Linked DNA regions of Tribolium castaneum. The protein of the gene in region 1 binds, or shares a complex with, the protein of each later gene. Links are inferred from orthologs where the notes say so. Each region holds a gene or a part of one and is shown in the gene's direction. Other genes may lie near its edges. The genes, in order: Prp8, U4-U6-60K, SmF, SmD1, U6 snRNA-associated Sm-like protein LSm6, SmD2 and holn1.

Region 1 (4,076 bases):
TCTACAGCTTCAAAATTTTGACAATGTTTTTGGGTGACAATGAAACTCTTCTAGTTTATAACCCCACCGAAAATTGTTTTCACTATTTTCAAACACGTTTTTTATAGCAACGTGTTGTAAATTAAAATGTTTCAACAAAAAAAAATTAAAAGTTTTCGGGTATCTAGGTATGTAACTCGCATACGCTCGTTGCATAACAACAGTTCTCGAATTTTAAGTTTGTGTTTTTGCACTCGTATTATATTAATAAATATAATAATTTGTTAATCATGTTAATAACGAATGACAAAGACACCGTAAAAAAGATTGAATCAAAACTTTTGAAAAATTAAAAATGACACAGATTGTTTTATTTTTGCACTGATTACTGTCAGTTTCTCTTATTGTAGCCAGCAGTAATCGGCTAACATACTATTTTTATCCCAAAAACTTTGGTAAACTTTTTTTCATAAGACTTTAAATCTCGACGAAAACGTTTACCATTTGATCGCTTAAGTTTCCTGGGTTTTATTAGGATTATTTAAAAAAAAAAAAAAACAAAAGTTGTTTGGACTTAGTCTACAATAACTTGACGAAAATTTAAAGCAAATAAAATGTTTCACAATTAGTTTATCTCACAAACAACGAATGCTAAACTTGACAACTTGACCGATTTATAAAGCGTTATTAACTTAATTCGTAATTAAATGCGTGATTAACTGATCACGTGACCAAAGTGAAGCAATTTGGTTGGTCCATTTGCGTTGTTAACTTTTAACAACGCAATTAACTTTAATTGAGCTTTCTGTAAACCGGCTCTTAGTGAGTATATTAAAAAACTAGACGTGATAGACAAACGTGAGATATCTTTTAGTTATCAGTGAGTATGCAGAAAACAAAACCAGTATAAATTATCTCTTGATAAAATAAAAATAATTGTAAACTAGTGTAATTCTTTTATTCTTCTTGTTTTAATTACTAGTAATTATCATTGTTTATCTTATTTTTACTTCAAGAATGCTTTAAACGGAATAAGTGGTTCAGGCGTAAACTTATGTTTAAACACCTTGTATTTAATATTTGTACCACGATTTTTTTTACAAGGCAGAATTTAAAAATGTGCAAACGTAAGCTAATATGCGAAGGCAAAAACACTTTGCTTTCGCTAGACGCTAATTATTTATCTACATCAGTGGTCCTCGTATAAGCATTATAGGCCACCAACAAAACACGATTGCTTAGAATTTAAAGTTGACAACCACTGCTCTGTTTTAGTGGATTTAGTGTTCTTTGTAATTGTGAGATTGGTATTGATAATCGTAAATATGGCGCTTGCAGGTGATGTGTGCGAATGAGAAAATGAACGCCGCATCAAAACGTAAAGTGAACGTTTTAGATGCATTTAAGCACTAAAACAGTAAAATTATCAATTTTGTTCAAGTTTTAAAAGGACAAGGTGAGTTTAAACCAATTTAAGTTAGATAATTCACTTATTTCGTTATTTGTGTACAGAAGCGGTTAGTACAAAAAGTGCGTTTCCTTTCCTTGTAAAAACTACCGTAACAACGTTCCACCTAAAAACGATTACAATTTAACTTCGTTTTTACGAATTGTTACCATTTACATTACTAAAATCACCGCAACTTATTATCCTGTATTAACACATGGTTATGCTTGGTTTTATATTACTTTCAGAATGTCGCTGCCCCCGTATCTTTTGGGGCCGAACCCATGGGCCACCATGATGGCCCAGCAGCACCTGGCTGCAGCCCATGCCCAGGCCCAGGCCGCTGCAGCTCAGGCCCATGCTCATGCTTTACAACAACAAATACCGCCCCCACATCCAAAGTCGGATGTGATGACTGAAGAAAAACTCCAGGAAAAAGCCCAAAAGTGGCATCAACTTCAGTCGAAACGATTTGCCGATAAACGAAAACTTGGCTTCGTTGATGCCCAGAAGGAGGATATGCCGCCTGAGCACATTCGGAAGATTATTAGGGATCATGGGGACATGAGCAGTCGTAAATATCGACACGATAAACGCGTTTATTTGGGGTAAAATTTCACTTTTTTTGTCAACGTATTCAAATATTAAACGTATTAAATATCTGCTTGAATGTTTGCTTCAGTGATAGCTTGTTGATCACTGATAACAACGTTGTTTTTGTGCAAATTGAATGTTAATTAATTCTTTTCCGGTTTTCGGAAAACGGTAAAAACACTTTTTTGTATTATATTTTGATCAATTATGAAATTAAAATTTTGGGGCTTATTTCGAAAATTTTTTATCAAAAATTTTGATTCTTAAAATCATTTCTCAAGTTTAAAAAGTAAATGTGGAGGGTTAATTCATTTTCAAAACTGTTGCTATTTGGAAGGACGACTGTACAAAGAAAATGAAAATATTTTAAGAATGCAAGCTGCTAATAATGAGGTAGTAAAGTTTAGAAAAAGCGGGCGATAAATAAATCTTTTTATGATGAAATTATTGATTTAAGGCGAGATTTGCTTATACTGTATCATAAAATGTTTGGTTAGTATATAGAATAGATAAATATTTAGTAAAGCTCGTAAAAACTTTGAAAGAAATGTAGATTTGGAACAAGTAAAATTTGAAATATGTTTACTGACATTTTTAGGGAAAAACAGTAAACGCTCAAAACATAATATGAATAATTGCAATATTATTGGGAAACACAAAATTATTTTCATCTAAGATCGTATCGAATAAGATGCGGATTATCTGCTTTCAGCAAACACATTTGCAAATTAGAGAAATAAAGACAGAATATTTAATAAATTTACAAAACAAAAACGAGAGCAAAATTTGGAATTTACAAAAAAAATTAGCAAATGACAAACACATTTATAGTGGTTCAGATTGATTTAAACATTACAGTGATTTTTTTAAAACGAGCCAAATTTTGAGAAGAAATTTTTTGTTGAAAGGGCATACATTGTAGTGTACTTATTTGAAATACAAAGTACTCTAAATATTCTAAATAGCGTGGTCCTAAAGATATGTTCATTGATTGTCATTTCTCTCTATGCAGTATCCAAAGCGTTTTTTAAGCTCTTGCCGTCTAATTTTGCTTTTAGAAATTTTTCTAATTTTATTGGTAATTTCTTGTTTTAAATTATCTAACTTTTTTGGTAGTGTTTTAAAGATTATAAAGTGAATTGAAGATCCATCATTAATGTGCAAGGTATATTTGAAAGAGTTAACGAAAAATGTCTACTTGCACGTCCAAGTTGGATTTTCATTAACCCTTTTAAAGATTATGTTTTAAGATTGTCAAATCTTACATTAAATGACAAAACTATCTTAAAAAAAATTGGTTAATTCAGGAAATAAGAAAAAAATACGAAGCCTGAAAATGGACAATTTTCATTGATAGAGGGACATTTTTTCTCGCTTTTTGTAAATTTGTAGCACTTATAAATCCCTTTGTAATATAGATCATTTTTGAAAATTTTAAATAGTACCACTCTCTTGTAAAACCTACAAATGAACAGTTAACTGCATAAACTGTTTAAAAATGTTTGGGATATTGGTGTTTTAATATACACTGCTCCACAACAGTTATAAAGTTCTAATTATTTTTACATTAAACAAATTCTATCAATTTTCGGGCATTAGAAGCTAATAATAACAAATCAGAAAATAAAGTATTTGCTTTTAATTTCATTCTTGTTATCAGTTGAATTTTTCTAAAATTCAGTATTATTCTTAACTTTTTTCAGTCAAGTTTATTGGAATGAATTTACAAATTCAGTTCTAGTTCTCTATGCAAGATAGTAGTTCTGAAAATTAAATTAAAAAAAAACCTGAAAAAATTCTTAGTAATGCCACCAAACATGCACTAGATTTTTAAATGCCTCTTCTATTTTCTAAGATATTTATGAAAAAATCACTGTATTTATTTAAAGTTTTTTTTTTTAAACGTGACTTTTTTACAACTTATTTCATTTCTATAATATTACGTTATCGCTGACTTCTGACTTTTTTTGTATTGTGAACTACTCAGGCTTTTTCTACCATTTTTCTTCGTAAATTTTCTATAATATGAATTGAAACTACAACTAAAAACTCCGTA
Region 2 (4,269 bases), on another chromosome or scaffold:
TTTATGCATTTGACAAAAATTATAACCTTGAAATTATTTTCGACATAAACCTTTGACATAAGTTACTAACAAAAATTTTAATAAAAAAGGATAGAAATATATACCCTATCCACATAATACAAAATTGGCTCGGTTTGACGTTCAGTGTCCCAACTCTCCCAATAAAGGAACTCTAGGGTTTTATTGACGTTGCGAGGAGAATCGATTGTTGGCAGTTTGCGGGCCAAGTGGAGTTTCTCATGGGGTCATGAAAAATTGAAGGGTTTTGCTTTTTTTAAAGGGGGCTTACGTGGTCGACGTTGATCTCTCCTTTGTACATGAACTCGACCAAGCACTTAATATCTACATATTTGACATCTTTCATGATGAGGATGGGGTCTTTTTCTTCGTACTGGGACAGGATGGTTTCGAAGTAGGTGCTGCAGGCGGAGAGGACGATCTTGTGGGCCTTGATGGTGCGCCCCTCGCAGGCCAAGGTGACGTCGCAGAAGGCCTCCTTCTCGAGGAGCTGCGAGAACATGGTCTGCAAGTTCGAATGGTGGTACCTCCATCTTAGACAATACTGTTGAGGCAGCATTTTTGGTTATGTTCGTCCAGCTTCCTTCCGACTGTTCGCGTTGGAGATGACGAATTTACCAAAAAGTAATGAGTCACCAGCGTGAGACCTTCGAAATAATCAATACTCGTCGGTTTTGGGGCCTTTGGGCGAGCGTTTGTTTTTTAAATCACCACCACTTCACTGGCACGGCACAACGCATCCGCAAGTCGACTGTTTTTGCGAGGTTTAACAATACAAAGTCCGGCCGAGGATTTCTCAAAAATTTGGAGACGCGTATGTAAATGTTCAGTCATTTGGAAAATTCCGACAAAAAATGTGTCCCTTAGTTTTTTATGAGTCAGTGAGCCAATAGAAACCACGTAAGACCCCTATAAACCATGTATAGTCCGTATATTCGCCGGGCCAAGCCTTTAAGGCAAATCAATACCGCACGTCTTAAAAAATTCTCGCGTAAAAAATCTTGGGAATTGTCGAGGTTTTTCGTCACACACAAATATTTGTCGAGAGCAACGGCTTTTCAGCCTAACTAACGGCACCAAACTCGACTAACGCAGATCCAAAACGGGGTCAAAAATTAAACCGACACAGACTCGGACTGTACTGTAATTAGGCCTTTCATATTTATTTTTATAAACTTGAGATTTTTCAGAGCCTGGGAAAGAAAGAGAAAATCTATCAACTGTTCAAGTTCAACGATCGGTCGTCGCGCCGATTTCGCACAAATTCACCGATTCTTTCACGATTTTCGCACACAAAACACCAGCACGGACATTGCACGGCTATTTAGGCGGTTTCCGCGGCACAACATCGTACATTTACTAAGATTTCCGGACCGAACTTGATAATCTCTCTCTCTCATGGAATTTTTTGGAAAAAAATTTAGACAGAGATAGCAAAACGCTATGTAAAGAAAACAGAAATATTTCTTTTGTGGAAGAAATCGTAAAAACTTGCCGTTGGCTACACTGAACTCACCAGGCGGTTTTGGTTACTTTTTTTGCGACAAATGTCAACTTGACGTTACGTTTTGAACCGATAGCAGTGATAACATGTAAACAAACGTTTTTTACGAATTAACTTGCACAAATACTCATTTTTGCTCAATTTTTAGCACCATGTCCGACGATGAGGACGCGCCTTACGTGAAAAAAACCAAAAATATTCACTACGGCTCGTTGGAGGAAGCGGAAAGAGCTAGGTTAGCAGCCGGCGATGGGAACGATGATAGCAATGAAAAGGCCGAAAGCACGTCGGCGAACCCGCCACAGGTTCACATTTCCACAGGTATTACTTTGGCATCCGTAATTTCGTCCAAATGCCAAAACCTCGCACACAAATGAGCTAAAGCTCAAGTCAACATCAGTTTAATGTAGCGCTAAAATATTCACGAAAAATCTAGTACAAGTGGTACATTATATATTTCTTATTCCTTAATGGAGCCTCGTGGCTCAAAACCCAGGTTCTGTTTTTTGTAATTTCTGTAAAACCAAATTTTGAGTCATGGAATCAAAGTTTTTTATTAGAATACTTAAAATCTTATTATTTATTTATTTATACAGGGTGAGTCAGTCATGAGTTAGTTCTGAAATCTGATGCAACCAGTAAAACTAATTCCACCTGTCCAGTTGTATTCCATTTTTTGAGTATATTGTTAACTTTATCTTAACAGTTTTGCCACTGATTTTGCTAAAACTCCTTTATGAACTACTATTTTTTCAAAAATAAAAAACCGAGTAATTTACCCTGGTATCTTTATTACATGAGAGTATTAAGAGTAAAATTTATCGTTGTAACTGATCGTTTAAATGAATTTCATCGTAATTTATCTCAAAAAAAGCTGGTAAGCAGAAGGTTAAAGTCTCAACATTGTAGCCAATATTTTCTCCAAATTCTTGTGATAAATTTTTTGCCAGTCGACATTTAGTGACATTTGAAGCGCTCAAGAGTGGCTTATTAACGGCCCAGTCAATAACTAGGTTCACATATTGACTCGAGTTGCTTTGTCATGCGAAATAATATGATTACAGATTTTTAAAAAAATATAAAACCTGAGTGATTCAGGAAAAAATCAGGTTTAATACAGCGATTAACTTGCACTTTGGCTTTGAAACTGACAGCCGCGGTGTTATTAAATCAAATGCTTTATTGCGCTATTAAATAAATAATTCGTATTAGAACTCCTTTAATGCCATAAATGCACAATAATATTAAATTGAAAAAAGTTGTGCCATAGGCCCCAGCTTTATATAATTTTTGCTTTTTAAAAAGAACAGTTTGTAGGTGTACCTACGAATGGTAAATAAAAAAAATGTTTATATAACAGCAATTATCACACAATTATTAAAAATGCGTGCTTAGGTGCCTGTTTTTATGTTAAAATCTTTCACTTGAATCTAATAAATACTGTTACGTTTAATTTATTCAGAATACATGGAGCTTGAGGACGCCATGTCCCGCGACAAGCAAGCCCTCTTGGAGGAATTCGAGCGTCGTCGTAAAGCGCGCTCTATTAACGTCTCCACCGATGACGCCGAAGTGAAACGAAACCTTCGCCAATTGGGAGAACCGATCTGTCTATTCGGGGAAGGACCGGCAGATCGGCGTTCACGCCTCCGTGAAATACTAAGTCGTATCGGTGAAGACGCAGTCATTCGACGCGAAGCCGAAGAAGAACGTAAAAATTTCGAAAAAGATCTCGAAACAACGTGGTATCATGAAGGCCCCGAAAGTTTGCGAATAGCCAGATTATGGATAGCGCACTATTCACTGCCGCGGGCCAAAGCCCGGCTTGAGGAAGCCAGAAAAGCGAAGGATTTATCAACGGCTACTAGAACAGCCAAGAAGCAGGAAATACAGAAAAAACTCCAGATTATGTCGATTTATTCGAGTCAGATTGGCGATTCGAGACCTATTGCCTATTGCCAGTTTAGTCCAGATTCGAAACTTTTAGCCACAGCTGGATGGTAATTATCATTTAATAAGTGAAATGAAATTATTTGTTTGATTCAAGGAGCGGGTTGTGTAAAGTGTGGTCAGTGCCCGACTGCACACTCAAACAGACCCTGAAAGGTCACGCCTGTAATGCCAGTGCTATTATTTTCCACCCTAGAGCAACAATCAGCCAGGAGGAAAATATTTGCAATATGGCATCGTGTGCAGCCGATGGTTCAGTAAAATTGTGGGATTTTCAAAGCGAGGAACCGATCGCTGATATCGAGGGCCATATGCCACATCGTGTCTCCCGGTTGGGCTTTCATCCCTCTGGAAGGTTTCTCGGGACTTGTTGCTTTGACTGTTCCTGGAGATTGTGGGATTTGCAGCAATGCACCGAAGTTTTACACCAGGAAGGACACGTCAAACCTGTCTATTGTATTTCCTTCCAGATTGATGGATCGGTCTGTGCCACAGGGTAAATACTTTTGGTAAATTGTGACAAATAATTAATTTCCCAACAGTGGTTTAGACTCATTTGGACGTGTGTGGGACTTGAGGACCGGAAGATGCATCATGTTCATGGAGAGTCACTTAAAGGCGGTTCTAGGGATAGATTTTTCCCCTGATGGCTACCACATTGCCACGTCTAGCGAAGACAACACTTGCAAAATTTGGGATTTGCGCAAACGTTCCGTCTTGTACACAATCCCAGCTCATACGAATTTAATTTCGGAGGTGAAGTTTCAAAGGGACGGCGGCGATTACCTAATTACTTC
Region 3 (2,216 bases), on another chromosome or scaffold:
TAATTGGACGGGGATTTAACAACATCTAAGCGTGGAGTGATAAGACTATCGCAAATGACGAGCTGTTTTGTTATATAACTTTATTTATTAATAAATTACGTTAGAAATGAGGCGATAAATCGATTCGTTCGGGGGGTTTACAACCCTGATTAAGGGCTCCCACTAATCGGGGCCCCAAACAATTACCTGGCACAATTGGGCGATAAAATCATCATTTTATCAGAGATAAAAATAAATAATTCATTAATGACGAGTCTGTGCCAAATTTCGTGACGCTAACTGTACTTTCACCTGTTTCACCTTGATAATAATAATACAATTGACGTGTAAATATTTACAAGAAAAATGGTAAAAATAACCCGCTAAACCCACCCCAAACCTAATCAAGCTTGTTTCAGGCCCGCTACTTCAAGGAGCAAGACATTGACGGTAGGTACCCCCGTGATAGCCCCCCAAACTAACTCGTAAATCTTGTAGAATTTCGCGAGTGTTTCTACTTGTTTGCGCGCTCGGGGCACATCAAGTCCCTGGACGAACTCACAGTGATAATGAGGAGTCTGGGGCTGTCGCCCACCATCTCAGAGCTTGCGGGTTATTTCAAGCAAAAGAACGGCAAAATGAGCTTTGCTGACTTCTTGGAGGTTATGCATATTCACTCACGGGTGGAGAACGTGCCCAAGGAGGTGGTGGACGCCTTCAAGGCTGGGGACCCGGAGGGGAAAGGGGTGATTCCGGCCAAGCAGCTGCGTCACATGTTGCAAAACTGGGGCGAGTGTCTTTCGGCCAAGGAAATTGATCGGATTTTCAGAGAGGCAAATGTTAATAACAACAGTATGGTGCGGTACGAGGATTTTGTTAAGATTGCCTGTGCACCAGTGCCGGATTATTACTAGAGGGGGCTTACCCTAACACAGTCTTTTCCACGAAATTATGTAAAACACATGTCACAAATTTTTATTTTCGGATTTTCGCACTGGGGGGTTGGCAATGATTTTTCGGTTTGGTAAAATAGAGAGCCGGCAATCAACCCCCGCACAGTTATTTATTCTAACGCCAATAAATCATTAATTGACCACAATCCTTGTTTTTTTTAATTACGGTAATTTTAGTCCAAGAATCACAAAAAAACAATATGCGCCCTAAAAAATCAGACACCCATCAACTTTTTATACGTCGATGGTGGATGGAAATTTTGACAATTGACACAATTGTCGCTCGATTCCAACCTCACTTTTGCTGGTTAGCGTTGTGTCAACGTTTTTAGTTTATTTGCGATTTTTTGCACACAAAAACAACAACCATGTCGACCGCAATGCCCATAAACCCCAAACCTTTCCTCAACGGCCTAACAGGCAAGGCTGTGATGGTAAAATTGAAGTGGGGGCACGAATATAAAGGTTACCTTGTCTCAGTTGATGGTTACATGAATTTACAATTAGCAAACACAGAGGAATTTATTGATGGGAATATGACTGGTATGTAACTATGCTTTGGAGGCGGACCCCCTTGTGTAACATTTTTTTACAGGTAACTTAGGGGAAGTTTTAATTAGATGTAACAATGTCTTGTTCATAAGAGGGGCTGAAGAAGAGGACGAGGAGGGAGAGACGAAGGATTAATTATTTAATGTAAATTCAAGTTTAAATGTACGATCGGATACTTACGTAAATAAGTATTGTAGATTTAATTTTTTACCAAATAAATCGTGTTAAAGTACTTGTTTTTTTTTCTACATGTAACGTTACGATTGTCTACCACAAAAAAAATACACAAACTGTTACGGATTATAAACAAGAGAACTTGCTTTTGAAAAAAAATACAAAAATATATTTATTTGTTTAACATTAAAGGACGCTATAAAGTGGGGGATACATACAGTGTTCTATAAATAATTATAATGGAATAAGGAAATGATAATTAAGTACCAAAAATGTAAATTAAATCCTTGTAGTTAACGGCAAAACGAACAGATAGCAGCACAACTGAAGAAAGTTCCCCTGCACTTACAGTTACCTCTCATACACCTGCTTTTGCATTTACCCGAGAGGGAGCCAAAACATACTTTATATTTTAAAAAGCATCAATTTAATTTAATTTGATAACTTTGGCACACATTGGTCACAAGAAAAATTAAAAAAAAATTAAGTGTCATCAAATGAAGAGTCAAATACTAAAAATATTTTTTGGGCCGAAGCGAAAAAATTCAAAAACCCTTT
Region 4 (2,416 bases), about 700 kb from region 1:
TTTTTTTATTTAAATTTCATAATCGATCGTTCACTGGTAAATAACCACCTAGTCTTTTAACATAATTCAAAAAAGTAAAACTAGAAAATTTGTATCCAAAAATGACTTTTTGTAAATTTTTTGGGTAAAAATGGTTTTATTTAAGTAACATTTTAATAAAATTGTACTAATAAACTTGTACTTGCAACGTAGTCATTTGATAACTTAAAACTAACCGGAATTTTTCAGTTCTTTCGACAGAGGTCAGAGTTGCGACCGGACCCGAGATCTTGCGAAAATGATTATTACTAGTTTTGTGTTATCTATTCTAATATTGTAATAAATAACATAAATTAATCAGTAACAAGTGTTTTTCAAATACTTTAGGTAGGGGAGAGTGGGGTTATTATGTACAGTGAATAATTATGCCCAAATTTCTGTAGGTTAACCCTCTTATCCTATAATCTAATTTTGCCCATTATAATCGTGTCCACATAATTTCAGCAATTTTGAAGCCTCACTCAAAAACTGTCAAACTAAAAACGTATCTTTCTCATGTTATAGTTATAATTTAGGCGAAAACAAGTCAAAAATTACTTTTTTTAACTTTTCAGATAAGTATTTTCTAACTTCTTATTAACATATAATTTATATAATCGACCTAATCTTAAATTTTTCTCCGCAAAATGTATTCATACAGTGGAACCCCTGTCACCCGAACGGGGATAAACCGACTCCACCAATTATTTTGTTCAATTTCAAATTTTGAATTCGAAAAATTTTTATAACACGAATTTTTGTTTAATTAATTAATTAACTAAAAACACGCAACTAATAAAAATTAAGAACAAGAACACTAGATGCACTAGAGAGAGTTGAGATTTTTAAGGTAAACACTTTGTTGGATTAGTTAAAAAAATTGCTCATATTATAATAACAGGAATCACTTGAACTCAACAAAAGTATTATTCCACTGTATTCTACAAAGATGATTTGAAGTGGCAACGGCCTATTCGGGTGATCGAAGTTCGACTGTATAAAGCAAAATATTTCATTGTTACTACGTGCCAATAGCAAGGTTATTTTGATAATAGCTGTGATAATAGTAAATAATAAAGAATTGTTTTTATTTTCAGAGTCCATAATTATCTGCAAACCTATAAAAAAAATAACGATTTAAAATTGGCGCCACGTAAGTGGCGCTCCCTTCGCAAGTTTTCTTGCCATCTCTTTCTTATATGCTCATTCTCTTTCCCTCTATGGAAGAGGGGGGGTAAAAAAACGTAAGCCAAGCGTGTTTTGCCGGCATAATATAAAAATTGTCTTAATTACACCAAAAATATCAACATGAAATTAGTAAGGTGAGAACGTAAACTACTGATTGATCAGACACGTTTTTATTTCCTTGAATTCCAAGTAAAACTCCTGAAAAACCACCTAACCTAACATTTCGGCCATTTTCAGGTTTTTAATGAAACTGAGCCATGAAACGGTCACAATGGAGCTGAAAAACGGCACACAAGTCCATGGCACTATAACCGGTGTAGATGTGGCCATGAATACGCACTTAAAAGCTGTAAAAGTGACTGTAAAGAACCGAAATCCTGTGAACTTAGACACCCTAACAGTTAGAGGAAACAACATTCGTTACTACATTTTGCCCGATAGTTTACCCCTCGAGACTCTGCTGATTGACGACACCCCCAAAGCCAAGGCCAAGAAGAAGGAGAGCGCCCGGGGGGCTGCCAGAGGCCGCGGGAGGGGCCGTGGCAGAGGGGGCCCCCGAGGCAGGGGCAGAGGGAGAGGGCGTAGATAAGAATACGTTCATTAAATTAAGTTTCGTAATTGTAAGTGTGAATCTTTTCGTTTAGTTCCAGTATTTGTAAAACTTTTATAATTCTGCTAAATTCATCAATAAAACATATTTAGGTTTAAAATGTCTTTGTTATTAAAAATCGGGACCTTGTACTAAAATGTATAAAACGTAAACTGTGAAACAAACAAAACAGAAGGCGGCTACAAATGCGAATGATTTTCGATTGTGTCTGTGGAGTTGTGAAAGTTGGTTTTCGTTTGTGGTTAAAAGTTTGCGAACTTCTCGTAACTCTTTCTTCATGTCGGCTTTTTTCTCGTTGGGGATTTCATCAGATTCGATCTTTTTTTCTAAAAGTTGGACCCTCACGTAACAGGCTTTGATTGCTTCTTCTGTTTTTGTTATCTACAAATGGTTAAATGAGTTTGGTAAAATTAACGTTTTACTGATTACCTCCTTCATGACGGAACATTCTCCTAAAGATAGCCCCATTTTTCGGGTGGTCTTAAACACTGACTATCAATACAGAAACAGATGGACTATCACTTTATTTAACCTCAATTTTTTTTATATTAATAATTATTTTACAAATTTAGGAACATTCTCTTACTTTCAATACAAAAA
Region 5 (2,078 bases), on another chromosome or scaffold:
GCACACTAAAAATAATAAATGGACTGTAAAAATAATAATTGCACAGTAAAAATAATAAATGCACAGTAAATAATAGCATCTCAAAACTAGAGTGTGTAGAATTTCACATTTCCAATTTTACGTTTTTGAGTTTAATCGTTCGAGGAGTATTTTTCCTTTTAGTTTGCTGGGGCGAAGCCCTAGACTGCAAGCTAGCTACTGAGCGTTTATTATTTAAACTGTGCAAACTGAAACTAGATCCTGTGCATATACGATTTTTTTATTGGGCAAATTTTAAAAAAATACTGTGCGTGGTTTACTTGTCATTTAAATTTTTTACTGTGCAAAAATGAATTAAATACTGATGATTTATTATTTTTTACTGATTAAAATCGAATTTTTTACTGATCGCTTTATTACTATCCTTTCAATAATGGCATTTGAGTACTAAAAAGTACTACCCCCCGGACTGTTTTGTTATAAACCTGCCGGAGAAATAAGAAAAGCGTAACAAAAAAGCACTCAAATCAAACAAAACAATTTATTTAAGTTGATTAAAGTCAAATAAAACTAAAACGACAAAACATTATTGTTTCTCTTGGTTCATAAAATGATTCCTCAGCGCGTCCAAGGCGCGGTACCGATGAGAGATTTTATTCTTCTCCTCTTTGGGCATCTCGGCGTACGTCTGCGTGTACCCCACTGGCTGGAAACACGGATCCCATCCAAAATCCCTCGGCCCCCTCGGCATCACAATCTCTCCATCCGTGCGCCCCTCGAACAGAATCACTTTGCCCCCTTCATCGCCCGGATGATATGCAAAAGTACAAACGGCCTGGGCACTCTTATCCTCATGCCCAGCCAGTAGTCGAAACAGCCCCTCAGGACCCAACTTATCCAAGAACCACTTAATATAAGGACCGGGCAAACCACCCAATGCGTTGAAACACAGACACGTGTCTTCGACGATACACGGCCCCTTGATGATTTCGTACGCCGCTTGGCATTTTTTCACGCAAATATCGGCGATTTCGCCCTGGAGCTCAGGGAGGTCCACTTTTTGACTCACCACTTTGCGTGGGAATGTCGAGCCGAGGATGGCAACCACCTCTTCGAGCTTTTTGGCGTTGCCGGTGACGAATGTTAGCGGTTTCGACATGGTTTTGCGTGAAAAAAACAGGAAGTGGGGTTATGTACATGCCGATTTGAGGTTAGGTTTTTGTCAGCCGAGGCGGTTAAATAAGCAAATTTGAGCCACAAGCTGATAAGGATGAGTCGCAAAGAAGCCCTTTCGTCTTTTATTCAACAAATTCACGCCAGGCCTGTTGTGGTCAAGTTGAATAGTGGTGTAGATTACAGAGGTGAGGTTATGTTTGTTTTTTGTCAATGAAGGGGGCTATTATTTGGTTTTTAGGTGTTTTGGCTTGTCTCGATGGCTACATGAACATAGCGTTGGAGCAAACCGAGGAATACGTCAACGGACAACTCAAAAATAAATTCGGGGATGCGTTTATTAGGGGCAACAATGTGCTCTACATAAGTACACAAAAACGTAGAATCTAATGTATTTTTTGTAATAAAAACGTTTCAAAACTCAAAGTCGTTCATTAAAGCGCACTGATCGATTCTCGTAGAGCTGTTGTATAGCTCAAATAACTCGTTATTTGTCTCACACTCTTGTTTCTTTTTCTTACTTTTAACGAGACTACAGTTCTGATATTTAAATTCATTCAATGTGTTGTCCGGAGGAGTTGGATAAAATTCACAGATGAAGTCCAATTTAATTTTACAATTGAGTGCCCTCCACGTTTTTTCAACATCTAACATGACACAGTCTTCTTTTCTTCGTCCTGGTCTTGGGTGGCCCACAGCCCAGGCCCGAAACCGCGAACATTGCAAAAAGTCCCCCATTGGAGTCTCAAAACTCCCCTCAACCGTAATGTCGTCAAGGCCAACGTATGCCCCCTTGTACCAGTTAGGCAAAGACTTGAGTAACGCAGCTAGTGCGTTCGTCCTTGCCTCAGTCAAAATATCAGCCAGGTCGCCCCCCAAATCCTGGCACCGACGTGCGGCGCTGGAATAATTCATTTTTTCCTGAA
Region 6 (2,167 bases), on another chromosome or scaffold:
TTTTCGCGTATAAACGCCCGGAAAATCATTTCCAAATCAAACTCCTCTACATAGAACTACTCTACATTTCCCCAAAAATTACCTGAGCAAAAGTCCACTCTTATAAACACTTGCGTCAAAAATAGAAAATTGCCCAACACAAACAATATCATTGAATACAGCGCGTGTATCTCGACACAAGAGGCATTCAGCAAGCAGCCGTAAGCATCGGCTATTATCCTATTTAGTCCGAAGTGGCCCCTAACGAGATTTAAATATGTTCATCGTCGATGTCAAACATATGAACTTTATTCCATTCATCTGGTCAATTGATTAATTGAATTAAGGTAGGCACACGAAGACCGAACTCATGAAAAACGAAGCCTCAAATGCGGGACCTTAGACGGGCGGCGACAGGAAACGCCGCAAATGAGGAAGTCGAATTAAGAATTATTAAATCTGACAACGTGTGACAAGAAAACAGACTTTTTTTGGTGATTTTCATCCATGCGGTATAAAGCAGCCAGACCGAGGAGATTTCAAAAACATCACCTTCGGCGCAACTACTTAATACCGGGTGGACAAGAGGCTTTCTTCTGGTGCGTTTCTTCAAGTATTTAATTTATATAGCGGGACGGGGTGGTTTATCGGCTCCTCACTGCATTTTAATGATTATTCTATTATTATTTGCGTTGGCATTGCTTGTATACTTAAATAAACACGCTGCTGGAATAATTACTTGCACTGGTTATCTCTTATTGTTATACTTACTATAAATAAAGAGTGATTATTGTTTATCGTAATTATTTAATTTTCGATTCTGGGGCTAACAAATTGCTGGGAATTAAACTCCCTTCGTTGGAAAAATGCACTGCAATACTCGTATTTGCAATATTTATTACATTTTCTAGTTAAATTATAATAAACGGTGCATTCCCCTATCTGATTCATTAATAGCTTGTTGCTCTTATATTTAACGTCTTCATCTCAATGGATTATAAATTGGTTTATTTGCTCGATTTTGTAATTAGTTTTTAGATCGTGGTTTTTGAGTATGTTAAAACTCTTAATTAATTATTCAAAAGAGTAATCTTAATGTAACTTTAAATGTGAGAAGAATAATTGTTGATTTAATTCGAAGTTTGTTTTCTTCACTTTAAATGTTTGAATCTGCCGCCATAGTATTAAACCCAGTTTGCGCATGCGCATTGCAAAATTCCCCAAACGCATCCAAAACGCTCAAATTCCTAACCTAACTATTTTTGTGCCGGAAAAAGTGTTGTTTTAAGTGCAAAAACCGAGTCAGAATGGCTTTAACGAAACCCAAGTCTGAAATGACGGCCGAGGAGCTTCAGGCTCGCGAGGAGGAAGAGTTCAACACGGGCCCCCTTTCGGTGCTCACTCAGTCGGTGAAGAACAACACTCAGGTGCTGATAAACTGCCGAAACAACAAGAAATTGCTGGGGCGGGTGAAGGCGTTCGATCGGCACTGCAACATAGTGTTGGAGAATGTGAAGGAAATGTGGACAGAGCTGCCCCGGCCTGGAAAGGGGAAGAAGAAAGCCAAGCCGGTAAATAAGGATCGGTTCATTTCGAAAATGTTTCTGCGAGGCGATGCGGTTATTATAGTTGTAAGGAACCCCCTAGCTACGGCTAGTGGTTAATTAGGAATAAAATTTGTATCTTCAGTTTAGTGTTTATTGAGGAAATTCACTTACCTATCACTTCACTCGTGTGGTCCTTCTGTTCTGCGGTTGATTGATACCGCGAACGTGATACTGTGGAAATATCACATTCATGTCGTTGCAAATGAAAGATTGAACGGTTTTTTAACATTTATCTATAAAAATAATACAACAAAATGTGATAAAATTTCTCCTTTTTATTTAAACAAGATAATACAAAAGAATAATAAATATTTGTAACTTATGCAAGCTGCATGACCTAACCCCTTTCACATATGATGTCCACAACGCTTGGTTCCATTAAAATCGGTTCCAGGCACCTGTGGACTGCTGATCCCAAAATCTCATCCAGGAGGAAATGAACCAAGCTGGAAAATTCAATTAATTTCACTAAATTCAAATTCGTGACGTACTTTTCATCCGCAACAAATCGCCACAAATACAACTGCAAGTAATGCGTGTCCACTTGAATTTGTTGGAGGCCAAATTTACTAAAAGTCTTC
Region 7 (2,763 bases), on another chromosome or scaffold:
TATTGCAGAATGATTTCAAAAGTGAAACATACCTTAAAAACAGCTAAGGTGTTAAGTACAAACACAAATCATTAAATAAATAAAATATTTGTTATAGGTATACATATGTATAACTATGAACTCATGTAATTATATAGCTTTTAATAAAATATAATCATACTTTATTTCATAACGTATATCTATCTTAAACTTTAGAACTCATTTATCTTGAAAATTACTCCATATGTTAAAACGAACGATCGGTTACAACAAACAAATTCGGAAGTCACTTAGGTGTTCGTTGTAACTAAGTTTCACTGTATTATTAATTGACGCGCTTGTAGTATTTATGGCTCTACAATCTTGCATTAGGTGTAACTTAATAAACTTAAAATACAAAATTAATTAATTTTTTTTAATATCTGAACTTTTTTTAATCAGTCAATCAAATAGCAAATTCAGTTCTAGCACAAATTCTCTAAAAATGCAAGATAATTCTGAAAATCACATGGGAAAACCTGAAACAATTCTTAGTAATGTCACCAAACATGTACTAGGTATTAAATGTTCTCATTTATATTCTGAGATATGTTAAAAAATCAGCCTGTATTTATTTATGAAGTTTTAAAAAAAAAAGCGTAGCTATTTTGCACTTTTTTCTACAATATTAGTTGTACGTGTACGTTGTCGCTGACTTAAAAACTTTTTCTGTAGATATTTGCATTAGGTACTCAGGCTTGTTCTCTGTTTACTTATTGTGAATTTAATATAATATAATTTGAAACTATTAAAAACATCTTAAAACTCATTATTTCAACCATAAAAAATCAGAACCTTTAGTTTGCAATTTATTTAAAAAATAAAGCTTGTAACAAAAAAATTCTAAAATTCTGTCGTTCTGGGCTATAGCCCATTTTCTCCTTATGTAAATATGCGACTGCTAATAAGTAATGAGAGCATAAGAGAAATTCGTATTTGCACGTATTTGGAGGACATCTTTTTTGAAACACACAGTATAAACAAATTTTAAAGTAGCTTGTGCCATCTCTTGGATAGTTGCCAAACATACCATTTCAATTTTACAGTTTTTCTTAACTTTTTGGGTTTTTTACAATATATTTTTGAGTTGTTTATGTTTTAGTAATAAGCGTGGTGAAAAATTTGCGGTAAAAAAAGCTGATTATGATTATTTCCAAAAAAAACAAATATTAAAAAATTTAACCGTGGATACAAACCAAAAGTGCAGATCGGTTTTGAGAGCATGCGTGTTGTTTGTTTTGCATTTGTCAAAAATGTCAAAACGAAAATTCAACGAAGGCGATTTTTCGCAAAATAAGCGGCGCCAGGTGAAGTTTAACGCAAAAAAACATTCCTTGGATTCGGACGAAGAGGACGATTACGATGAGACCGCTGAAGAGCTCAACGCCGACGACATCGAGGGCGAAGAGGAGGGAATTTCGCGTCAGGTTGAAGGGGTCCGGATGACCGCCTTCAACATGAAAGAGGAGATGGAAGAAGGGCATTTCGACAAAGAGGGCCACTTTATTTGGAACAACGAGAAGGAAATACGGGATAATTGGTTGGACAACATCGACTGGCATAAAGTCAACAGTGACGATAAGTACCAGTTGGACCCCAACGAGAAAGGCTTGGGGGCCGAGAGTGATTCTGAGTCGGAAGCTGAGGATTTCGATGAGGTCGGTTTGTACAAAAAGATGCTCAACTACATGAAACCCAAAGAAACGGTCAACAAGTGTTTGAGGCGGTTAGGGGGCGATTTGAAGTTGTCCAGTGTCGAGAGACTGAAGCGCAAGAAGGCAGGGACTTTGAATTCGAATCAGGATGTGGCGGACATGACCGAGATCGCGAATAGTATATTAACGAAGACGGGGAACATGAACGTATACCAGGAGACTTTTGAAGAAATTACCAAAAAAATTGACGACCGAACGAAACCGAAAAACAGTGAGCCTGTTCTGGACATGTATGCTGACGACTTCGGCGACAAGGAGAAGGAGAAGATGGAGACGGCGTCAGTGTCAGGTAAACCAGAGCAGTTAATGTGGGAATTTAAGTGGGACCAAGACAAGGACCAAGTCGAGGGTCCGTACGACACCTCACAAATGTTAAAGTGGTCCAAAGAAGGGTACTTCAAGACGGGAGTGTGGGTGCGTAAGTGTGGCGAACAATCCAACTTTTACACCTCGAACCGGATAGACTTCGAGCTGTATGACTAACAGTGTTATAAAAATTTTATTATCAATATACATAAAAAGTCAAGCAATTTGCTTAAAGGCACTTAATTACATTCCGTTGTAAGCCGGGCCGCCACCTCCTTCGGGAACCACCCAGTTGATGTTCTGACTCGGGTCTTTAATATCGCAAGTTTTGCAATGTATACAGTTCTGGGCGTTGATTTGCAGCCTTTGACCGTCCCCACTTTCAAGCGGGACGAATTCGTACACTCCTGCTGGACAAAACCGGCCTTCAGGCCCGTCATAAATGCCCAAATTTTGCTTAACAGGAACGGTATCGTCCTTCAGGGTTAGATGCGGGGGTTGGTCACCTTCATGATTGGTCCCAGTCAGCGCAACGGAAGAGAGGAGATCGAAGCTGATTTTACCGTCAGGCTTCGGATAATCGATAGGTGTACAGTCTTTGGCCGGTTTGAGTCTCTTGTAATCGGGATCGCCATGTTTGAAAGTCCACGGTTCCATCCCCCCAATCATTATGGAAAATCCACTGTACATCACTCCTCCATACATCCCCAAAGGATTATGGAAG

What was found.
Region 2: Prp8 (region 1) and U4-U6-60K share a complex: the UniProt entries of both Homo sapiens proteins name them as parts of the U4/U6-U5 tri-snRNP complex. The link is inferred for Tribolium castaneum from reciprocal best matches to the Homo sapiens genes PRPF8 and PRPF4.
Region 3: Prp8 (region 1) and SmF share a complex: the UniProt entries of both Homo sapiens proteins name them as parts of the U4/U6-U5 tri-snRNP complex. The link is inferred for Tribolium castaneum from reciprocal best matches to the Homo sapiens genes PRPF8 and SNRPF.
Region 4: Prp8 (region 1) and SmD1 share a complex: the UniProt entries of both Homo sapiens proteins name them as parts of the U4/U6-U5 tri-snRNP complex. The link is inferred for Tribolium castaneum from reciprocal best matches to the Homo sapiens genes PRPF8 and SNRPD1.
Region 5: Prp8 (region 1) and U6 snRNA-associated Sm-like protein LSm6 share a complex: the UniProt entries of both Homo sapiens proteins name them as parts of the U4/U6-U5 tri-snRNP complex. The link is inferred for Tribolium castaneum from reciprocal best matches to the Homo sapiens genes PRPF8 and LSM6.
Region 6: Prp8 (region 1) and SmD2 share a complex: the UniProt entries of both Homo sapiens proteins name them as parts of the U4/U6-U5 tri-snRNP complex. The link is inferred for Tribolium castaneum from reciprocal best matches to the Homo sapiens genes PRPF8 and SNRPD2.
Region 7: Prp8 (region 1) and holn1 share a complex: the UniProt entries of both Homo sapiens proteins name them as parts of the U5 snRNP complex. The link is inferred for Tribolium castaneum from reciprocal best matches to the Homo sapiens genes PRPF8 and CD2BP2.

The regions. Positions count from the first base shown.
Region 1 is NC_087394.1:7,721,991-7,726,066, reverse strand, and holds the start of Prp8 (pre-mRNA-processing-splicing factor 8), read left to right. Parts: upstream 1-1,276; 5' UTR 1,277-1,435; intron 1,436-1,674; 5' UTR 1,675-1,675; coding exon 1,676-2,034; intron 2,035-4,076. UniProt on the Homo sapiens protein: Plays a role in pre-mRNA splicing as core component of precatalytic, catalytic and postcatalytic spliceosomal complexes, both of the predominant U2-type spliceosome and the minor U12-type spliceosome.
Region 2 is NC_087397.1:1,345,151-1,349,419, forward strand, and holds the start of U4-U6-60K (U4/U6 small nuclear ribonucleoprotein Prp4), read left to right. Parts: upstream 1-1,469; 5' UTR 1,470-1,610; intron 1,611-1,670; 5' UTR 1,671-1,674; coding exon 1,675-1,843; intron 1,844-2,984; coding exon 2,985-3,522; intron 3,523-3,569; coding exon 3,570-3,968; intron 3,969-4,014; coding exon 4,015-4,269. Other genes in the region: zinc finger protein 131, read right to left, coding at 290-577. UniProt on the Homo sapiens protein: Plays a role in pre-mRNA splicing as component of the U4/U6-U5 tri-snRNP complex that is involved in spliceosome assembly, and as component of the precatalytic spliceosome (spliceosome B complex).
Region 3 is NC_087398.1:3,706,351-3,708,566, reverse strand, and holds SmF (small nuclear ribonucleoprotein F), read left to right. Parts: upstream 1-1,184; 5' UTR 1,185-1,300; coding exon 1,301-1,475; intron 1,476-1,527; coding exon 1,528-1,619; 3' UTR 1,620-1,716; downstream 1,717-2,216. Other genes in the region: calmodulin-like protein 4, read left to right, coding at 346-348, 399-429, 478-893. UniProt on the Homo sapiens protein: Plays a role in pre-mRNA splicing as a core component of the spliceosomal U1, U2, U4 and U5 small nuclear ribonucleoproteins (snRNPs), the building blocks of the spliceosome.
Region 4 is NC_087394.1:7,020,357-7,022,772, reverse strand, and holds SmD1 (probable small nuclear ribonucleoprotein Sm D1), read left to right. Parts: upstream 1-1,185; 5' UTR 1,186-1,326; coding exon 1,327-1,340; intron 1,341-1,443; coding exon 1,444-1,795; 3' UTR 1,796-1,916; downstream 1,917-2,416. UniProt on the Homo sapiens protein: Plays a role in pre-mRNA splicing as a core component of the spliceosomal U1, U2, U4 and U5 small nuclear ribonucleoproteins (snRNPs), the building blocks of the spliceosome.
Region 5 is NC_087398.1:10,391,338-10,393,415, forward strand, and holds U6 snRNA-associated Sm-like protein LSm6, read left to right. Parts: upstream 1-1,201; 5' UTR 1,202-1,249; coding exon 1,250-1,340; intron 1,341-1,393; coding exon 1,394-1,542; 3' UTR 1,543-1,566; downstream 1,567-2,078. Other genes in the region: inosine triphosphate pyrophosphatase, read right to left, coding at 566-1,138; uncharacterized protein LOC100142353, read right to left, coding at 1,567-2,078. UniProt on the Homo sapiens protein: Plays a role in pre-mRNA splicing as component of the U4/U6-U5 tri-snRNP complex that is involved in spliceosome assembly, and as component of the precatalytic spliceosome (spliceosome B complex).
Region 6 is NC_087395.1:17,190,837-17,193,003, reverse strand, and holds SmD2 (probable small nuclear ribonucleoprotein Sm D2), read left to right. Parts: upstream 1-1,186; 5' UTR 1,187-1,286; coding exon 1,287-1,643; 3' UTR 1,644-1,667; downstream 1,668-2,167. Other genes in the region: serine-rich adhesin for platelets, read left to right, coding at 331-426; Vps51 (vacuolar protein sorting-associated protein 51 homolog), read right to left, coding at 1,924-2,032, 2,078-2,167. UniProt on the Homo sapiens protein: Plays a role in pre-mRNA splicing as a core component of the spliceosomal U1, U2, U4 and U5 small nuclear ribonucleoproteins (snRNPs), the building blocks of the spliceosome.
Region 7 is NC_087402.1:7,512,643-7,515,405, reverse strand, and holds holn1 (CD2 antigen cytoplasmic tail-binding protein 2 homolog), read left to right. Parts: upstream 1-1,233; 5' UTR 1,234-1,271; coding exon 1,272-2,216; 3' UTR 2,217-2,263; downstream 2,264-2,763. Other genes in the region: Etf-QO (electron transfer flavoprotein-ubiquinone oxidoreductase, mitochondrial), read right to left, coding at 2,283-2,763. UniProt on the Homo sapiens protein: Involved in pre-mRNA splicing as component of the U5 snRNP complex that is involved in spliceosome assembly.